2 linked regions of the Saccharomyces cerevisiae S288C genome follow. The main gene of each other region encodes a partner of the protein of the gene in region 2 in a complex. Each region holds a gene or a part of one and is shown on either strand. Other genes may lie near its edges. A codon is read from its position in the direction of its gene.

Region 1 (3,555 bases), on a different chromosome or scaffold from region 2:
TCTGTCCAGCCTGGCAAAGCCATTCCTGACATTATAGAGTCTCCATTGGGAAAATTGGGCAGTGCCATTTGTTATGATATTCGCTTTCCCGAATTTTCTTTGAAATTACGATCAATGGGGGCTGAAATCTTATGTTTTCCCAGTGCGTTCACTATTAAAACAGGGGAAGCACATTGGGAGTTACTAGGCAGAGCAAGAGCGGTTGACACTCAATGCTATGTGCTCATGCCAGGGCAGGTTGGAATGCACGATCTCAGTGATCCAGAGTGGGAGAAACAATCACATATGAGCGCTCTCGAAAAAAGCTCCAGGAGAGAATCTTGGGGACACTCAATGGTCATTGATCCTTGGGGTAAAATAATAGCGCATGCCGATCCCTCTACTGTTGGACCACAACTAATTCTCGCTGATTTGGATCGTGAGCTTTTGCAAGAAATAAGGAACAAAATGCCCTTATGGAACCAGAGAAGAGACGATTTATTTCATTGAGGCAAATAAAATATGAAAAAAGCCTTTATTCGTACAGATTTGCTTTACATATTAAAAATTTCAAAAACATATAATTTAAGTATATAAGTAGTTAATCATTTAATTATTTTTCCGTGGATCGAAGAATTTCGTTAACTTTTTCATCATCTCTTGATCTATTCACAACTTTAAATGCAAAAGTCAAATATGAGGTATGGGATTTGATCTCAGCTTCCATCTTTGTGACCTCCTTCCATTTATAATTACTATCACCTTCCTTGATTCGAGAACCTTTGCCAAAAGGATTAAATTTGGCCTTTTCTGTTAATGGTACGCCATCCTCGTTTCTTTTTCCAACTTTTTCATCGTTAGAATCTATTGTATTGTTAAACATCCGCTTGCGTCTTTCTACACCCTGGAGTTTGTGCCTCTTAATATCTCTCAACCTTTCCAGGGCATCATTGAGTGATCTGACCATTTGTCTTCGACTTTCGTACTGTCTACCTTGAATTTCCACCATTTCAACATCCGTCCAGCCATATTTCTCTAATACATCCAATGTTTTGTCTACTTGCTCAATGCATGGGGAGAAGCAACACAATCCGACCTTTTCGTCTACGGAAATAACAGAATCCAGATGAGGTATAGCATCCCAGGGAGCCGGCAGATCTAAAAACACTACATTTGCATTCAATGAAGCGGCGGTTTCATTATTGCCAAATTCGTAAGATGTAGTGTCTCCCTTCTTTATAAGAAATCCACCTTGGCAAACATCCCGATGTGTAATCGTAACGTTATCATCAATAAGTCCATGCTCTTTGAATTCCTCTAATGCTTGTTCGTATCTTATGTGATGAAATTCAAAACTAAAAAGATGACCTACAGATCTTGCAAAAGCGTGCGAAAATGATCCTGAGCCTGTACCTGCCTCGATCACTCTGCTGTGAGGGCTACAATTCAACCTTTGCATGATGTAGGAAGAGTCGGGCGTATATACAATTTGAGTTCTGTGTGGTAACGACAAAGTCCACAATTCAGGAGTTGGTTGCAGAACATGGACGAATGCAAACTTATTTGAGCCCTTTGTTCTTATAGCAATTTGAGAACCATAAGGTTTACCTATGATATCCTTATGAGGAAATGAACCATAACGAGTATTGAATACCTCTTCGGAATGCATCCTTACCGGTTTGATGTTATCTCTAGAAACCCATATTAGAGTTAAATCGCCTTCCTTGATGAGGTCTTTGTAACCGGAAAAACAATTTGTTGACATTTCTAAATCTGCGTAATCTTAGCTACCTGATAGTCCCACCCCGATCTTATTCACATATATTTTCTATATACTTTAAACAGTTTTAAAAGTGATGAGCATGGAAAAAAATTCGTTGCTAACGGCATGGCATAAACAAAAAGCGAAAAAATTTTATAGATAATAATAAAGAAAAAGTATCAATAGCATGAGTGTTAATGTTATAACGAAGTGTAAGAGGAAAAAGAATGCTGCGCAAATACGTTACTTCATAAAAAAACTCAAGTACTGTATATATTTTACATTTAAATATATTAATTTATATACAAATACGGCCTCCTCTCTTGCATTTTTTTTATTGTTCCATCTCCAAAGGCAGTTGATTAAGTGTACGGATAGGTAAAACTGAATGTGGAAATTTTTGAGAGTTTACTCCAGGATATATGTTGGTAGTATTGTGTTTTTCTTTCTTAGTACATGTCAGATTTATGGAAATCGTAAACGATACCATGGCGGGCCATTTTTTTACCTTTGTGGGTTTCCTCTTTAAACCTTTTCTCATCATTTTTTTGCTTGGTCAGCCAAGCCTCCTTAAATGGTATGCGTTCCATGGCCTCAAGGGGTTGATCTTCTTTATCGATGTCTACTTCGCCTAACATGACAACATTTTCACCACGAATCATGAATATGCCGCGGTCTTCTTCAGCGTATTTGTTTTCTTCGCTAAAATATATTCTCTCCACGCAATCTTGAAGTATCAAATTTGCATATTGGTCAAAGGTTCTTAGTACACCGAATAGCATTCTTCCATCACGCAAAAGAACGAAGATTTTACGGTCTACTGAGCTTACAATAGCAGCGGTGGTAGTGAAGTTATACTGGTCGAGATATAAATCGGCCTCACCTTCTGAAATCTTCTTTGGGAAATTCTGCTGTTGTCGCTTCGCATCCTGATTGGACTGATTTCTGTCCTTGCTATTTGCAGACATTTTTGGTGAATTAATTCGATTCGAGGGCTGCTTTCTTTTATAGGTTTTGAAAGCGGAGCAAATGTTGGTATAACTCTACTGCAGCGTTGGCAATCCTGTTGAAAAGGAAAAGAAAATATAACTAAACTGTGTTACTTGTATCTTCACTAATATTTAATCAGCCCTTGGTCATACAGGCTTCCCCTAGATTGAAATACAGGTGCTGAACACCGTTGTATATTCACGACTTCCTCTATTTTTTTCATATTTTCCATTATTCAACGAACGCGGGTAACAAGTCGGCCGAATTTGAACCCACTCCTCTGCGCTTGTAACTTTATACATCATCGTTACGCTATAAATGTTATGTATTAAGTGTATCAAAGACCCATACGGTCAATGACATAATTCTGTGCCATGACCCCAAATGACAAGCTTAATCCATCTTCGATCCATTCCTTTACCCATTCACTAGGATCAATGATCTCATCGTCTTCGTCTTCGTCTTCACTTTCTTTTTGTTTCTTTTGATCGTATGACTTATTCCTCTCCTCACTTGCTGTTGATCCTGTTTTCTCCACGGATCCTTCTAGCCAATTGACCCATTTGACAGGGAATCCTTGTGATCTTGTTATGGTGGTAATATCGTTAGTTATGTCTTTCAATACAAGGGTGAAATTGAAATTGCCTGGCGTATTGGAGTCGGTCACTTGAAAGTCACCGTCGGCATCTTTTTGTTTTTGCGGAATGGCAATTGGTAAGATGGATATGAATAAATCACTGATTTTATTGCTGTTACTGCTAATAGAACTCCTATCGTCATCTGGAGTGGCATCAGCCTCTTTCTGTTGTTTCTGGTATTCCTCA
Region 2 (3,755 bases):
GGGCGAATACTACACCAGATTTTTGCATCCTTTGGGACTATAAGACATTTAGCAACCGCACTCAGTGGGCACAAAGCTAATTGCAACTAAGTATATAAATGTAAATATATATATTCTCAGGTTTTTTTGTTGGAAGTTATCAAACGGAACACTCTGTGGACATTTATATTTTTTGTTTCTTAGCTCCATGTTCAGCAAGCTTTTCACTGGAGTCAGCTGCAGTCGCGTTTTCCGATACAGGTTCAGGAGCAGGGATGACTCTGTGACACCACATTAGATATCCACCACCACCTTTCATGGTCATCAGAGGGTGTAGCTTACCCCTTATACTTTGGTACGGCCTACATCTAGTTTCCAAAATTGATGGTGCTAAAAACCTGAGGTCTGAATATAAAGTATGAGCTAATTCCAACAAAGTTTCTTTGAATTGACCATAGCATACAATCGGCCTTGAACCATGGATTTTTTCGGCCAACTTTGGCACTAGTGTTGGTAAATGTAGTGTAGTAGCCATTACAAGACCGTCATATAGGAATTCTCCTGTTAGTTCTAAAATTTGCCATTGTGTATTGTACCATCTGAGTTTTCGGTAGTACGAGTTTTTCTTACCACCTTTTAATGCACGGGCTTCTTCTTTAGGTAATGGTGTAAATCTGCTCTGAATCTCTTGTAGTGTAGGCGGTTCAAAAAAATCTAATAGAGAAATGGTGTGTACATGCTCTTTAATAAATTTCTCAGAATAATTAGCAAACTTCAGCAAATCCAAGTTGGCATGTTCATTTTCGTGAATAACTATGACTTTGCCCTTGGATTTGCTTTCATTGTCACCGCCAAACATTCTTTCCAACAGAAAGTAAACCAATAACCCACCCGTTTCATCCATACAGAGATAGTTGCCTTCTGATTGGATGTTCGCAAGATTTAACAGCATCCCCATCGATTCCTGAGACATATCCAATACCCTTTGGATATCGCCTTTGTCGATTAAGAATTGTAAAAGGTTAGAGCTACTTAAATACTCAACGGTGAAGTACTTGGCGAATTTTTGTTTCTTCCTATTCACATATTTCTCTTGAGAATATACGGTCTTGTTGTGAAAACTTTTGTGAGATTTGATAATTTTGTCGATTATTTCTTTACTAGATAAAGATTCTTGTTTCATTTTTTCAATTTCTTCAACGGTTAACTCTTGGGCCTTGCTGCCCATGTTAACCAGATTCTGATTCGTAGCACTGCTGTCAATGCTAGACAATTCAAGAGACACAGATTTTTCCTTAATAGATAAAGGAGGCTCGCTTTGACCATCGTCTTTATCATTATTGACATCTTTGATCTCCTGCGATAATAGCCTTACTTTCCCGATGGGAATTTTGTTCTTTGGTTTCGAATCTCTATTTTCATCGGATGAAACCTCTTCGCCATCATAATATATCTCGAAAGTCAACCCGAAAGGATAACCAATTATGTCATTAACCTCGAAAGCACCGAATTTTCCTAATGATACAGAGGTGTTGGGCTTTAGTTCCACTATCTTGTAATTTTTTGATGGCAGCCGGACGATAACGTGCTGATTAAAATCTATGGTTGTCAAAGCATTCATTGTGCACTAAATTCAAAGTTTTTTTGTCCAATTCGTTTGCAACAATGTGAGTAGGATCCAACGTGCCAAAGAATTTAAAGTTGAATATTATTATTGTTATTATACACCTCATCGACTTTTTTTTTTTTTTTGATGAAATTTTTCAGATTTTACAAAACCGTTACCCAGTTTCACGTTTTCTGAAAAAAATTTTCATCTCATCGCAGAATAAGTTTAAGATGAGCTGAGCTGCAAATACAGTTGTCGCTAAGGTATATAGATTTGTAATTCTGGCGGAATTCCCCTTGTGTTGGCTAATATTAGAATTACATATACATATAATAGGAAATGGGTAGTAGACGTCATAAGAACAAGCAAGCCGCCCCACCAACCCTGGAGGAGTTTCAGGCAAGAAAGGAAAAGAAGGCTAATAGAAAGCTAGAAAAAGGAAAGAGACCTTCTACCACGCAAGGGGATGAAGTTTCTGATAGAAAGAAAAAGAAGTCGAAGCCATTCAAGAAATCTAGAAAAGAGGAGGAAGAAGTTGTTGAAGAGGATAAGGATTTGCCAGAAGTTGATCTTGAAGAATTATCAAAAGCCAGGAAATCTTTATTTGATGATGAAGAAGATGACGATGAAGCAGGATTGGTGGATGAAGAACTAAAAGATGAATTTGACTTGGAACAAGAATATGATTACGATGAAGATGAAGATAATGACGCCCACCCAATTTTTTCAGATGACGACGATGAGGCTGATCTTGAAGAACTAAATGCACAAAACATGGAAGCTCTTTCTAAGAAACTTGATGAAGAAGAAGCTGAAGAAGCTGAAGAAGCCGAAATGGAGTTAGTGGAAGCGGAGAACATGCAACCAAGAGCAGACATATTGCCCACTGAGGAGCAGGAAGAAATGATGGCACAAGAAACTCCTAATTTAACTTCCACAAGAACAAGAATGATTGAAATTGTAAAGGTTTTGGAAAATTTTAAGACTCTTGGTGCAGAAGGCAGATCGAGAGGAGAATACGTTGACAGACTTTTGAAAGATATTTGTGAGTACTTTGGTTATACACCATTTTTGGCGGAAAAGTTATTCAATCTATTCTCACCAGCAGAGGCGATGGAGTTTTTCGAAGCCAATGAAATTGCAAGACCAATAACCATCAGAACCAACACCTTGAAGACCAGAAGGAGAGACTTAGCTCAAACTCTTGTGAATAGAGGTGTTAATCTACAACCTATTGGTTCTTGGACTAAAGTTGGTCTTCAAATATTCGATTCCCAAGTCCCAATTGGTGCTACGCCAGAATATTTGGCAGGTCACTATATTTTACAAGCGGCATCATCTTTTCTACCAGTTATTGCTCTAGATCCTCATGAAAATGAGCGTATCTTGGATATGGCAGCTGCTCCAGGTGGTAAGACCACTTATATATCAGCTATGATGAAAAACACAGGTTGTGTTTTCGCTAACGACGCCAATAAATCTAGAACAAAATCTTTAATTGCTAATATCCACCGTCTAGGCTGTACCAACACTATTGTATGCAATTACGATGCCCGTGAGTTCCCTAAGGTAATTGGAGGTTTTGACAGAATTTTACTGGATGCCCCATGTTCCGGTACTGGTGTTATCGGTAAGGATCAATCTGTCAAGGTGTCTCGTACCGAGAAGGACTTCATTCAAATTCCACATCTACAAAAACAATTGCTTCTATCCGCCATTGATTCTGTTGATTGCAACTCGAAACATGGTGGTGTAATAGTATATTCGACATGTTCTGTTGCAGTGGAAGAGGACGAAGCTGTCATAGACTATGCATTGAGAAAAAGACCGAATGTCAAGTTAGTCGATACTGGTTTAGCGATCGGTAAAGAAGCGTTTACTAGTTACAGAGGCAAAAAGTTTCATCCTAGTGTGAAATTAGCGAGGAGGTACTATCCACATACGTACAACGTCGATGGGTTCTTTGTCGCTAAATTCCAAAAGATCGGTCCATCTTCGTTTGATGATAACCAAGCAAGTGCAAAAGAAAAGGAAACTGCTGCTAGAAAGGAAGCTTTGGAAGAAGGTATCATTCACTCTGACTTCGCAACCTTCGAGGACGAAGAAGACGATAAGTACATTGAAAAGTCTGTGAAAAACAATCTTTTGAAAAAGGGTGTCAATCCAA

What was found. The genes of interacting proteins can lie anywhere in the genome.
Region 1: the proteins of GCD10 (region 2) and GCD14 are in contact, whole or in part, in a crystal structure (PDB 5ERG), measured with the Saccharomyces cerevisiae proteins. Residues at the interface, in NP_014337.3 of Saccharomyces cerevisiae: Met1 (codon at 1,600), Leu4 (codon at 1,591), Thr5 (codon at 1,588), Phe9 (codon at 1,576), Arg16 (codon at 1,555), Asn44 (codon at 1,471), Asp45 (codon at 1,468), Ile46 (codon at 1,465), Ile47 (codon at 1,462), Gly48 (codon at 1,459), Tyr49 (codon at 1,456), Pro50 (codon at 1,453), Phe51 (codon at 1,450), Gly52 (codon at 1,447), Leu53 (codon at 1,444), Leu85 (codon at 1,348), Glu194 (codon at 1,021), Tyr195 (codon at 1,018), Ser197 (codon at 1,012), Ser198 (codon at 1,009), Ser199 (codon at 1,006), Gln219 (codon at 946), Glu220 (codon at 943), Gly223 (codon at 934), Met224 (codon at 931), Leu226 (codon at 925), Asn227 (codon at 922), Leu228 (codon at 919), Asn230 (codon at 913), Ile231 (codon at 910); in NP_012410.1 of Saccharomyces cerevisiae: Phe6 (codon at 1,729), Ser7 (codon at 1,726), Gly8 (codon at 1,723), Tyr9 (codon at 1,720), Lys10 (codon at 1,717), Asp11 (codon at 1,714), Trp22 (codon at 1,681), Arg25 (codon at 1,672), Pro55 (codon at 1,582), Tyr56 (codon at 1,579), Gly57 (codon at 1,576), Ser58 (codon at 1,573), Gln59 (codon at 1,570), Ala61 (codon at 1,564), His74 (codon at 1,525), Leu76 (codon at 1,519), Gln77 (codon at 1,516), Thr79 (codon at 1,510), Pro80 (codon at 1,507), Glu81 (codon at 1,504), Leu82 (codon at 1,501), Leu85 (codon at 1,492), Thr96 (codon at 1,459), Pro97 (codon at 1,456), Ser100 (codon at 1,447), Tyr101 (codon at 1,444), Met103 (codon at 1,438), Gln104 (codon at 1,435), Arg105 (codon at 1,432), Asn107 (codon at 1,426).

Annotation. Positions count from the first base shown.
Region 1 is NC_001142.9:184,936-188,490, forward strand, and holds GCD14 (tRNA 1-methyladenosine methyltransferase subunit GCD14), read right to left. Parts: upstream 1,745-3,555; coding exon 593-1,744; downstream 1-592. Other genes in the region: NIT2 (putative hydrolase), read left to right, coding at 1-489; LSM1 (Lsm1p), read right to left, coding at 2,191-2,709; DUF5427 domain-containing protein MTC1, read right to left, coding at 3,069-3,555. UniProt on the Saccharomyces cerevisiae protein: Catalytic subunit of tRNA (adenine-N(1)-)-methyltransferase, which catalyzes the formation of N(1)-methyladenine at position 58 (m1A58) in initiator methionyl-tRNA.
Region 2 is NC_001146.8:508,613-512,367, forward strand, and holds GCD10 (tRNA 1-methyladenosine methyltransferase subunit GCD10), read right to left. Parts: upstream 1,601-3,755; coding exon 164-1,600; downstream 1-163. Other genes in the region: MTQ1 (S-adenosylmethionine-dependent methyltransferase), read left to right, coding at 1-90; rRNA (cytosine-C5-)-methyltransferase NOP2, read left to right, coding at 1,928-3,755. UniProt on the Saccharomyces cerevisiae protein: Substrate-binding subunit of tRNA (adenine-N(1)-)-methyltransferase, which catalyzes the formation of N(1)-methyladenine at position 58 (m1A58) in initiator methionyl-tRNA.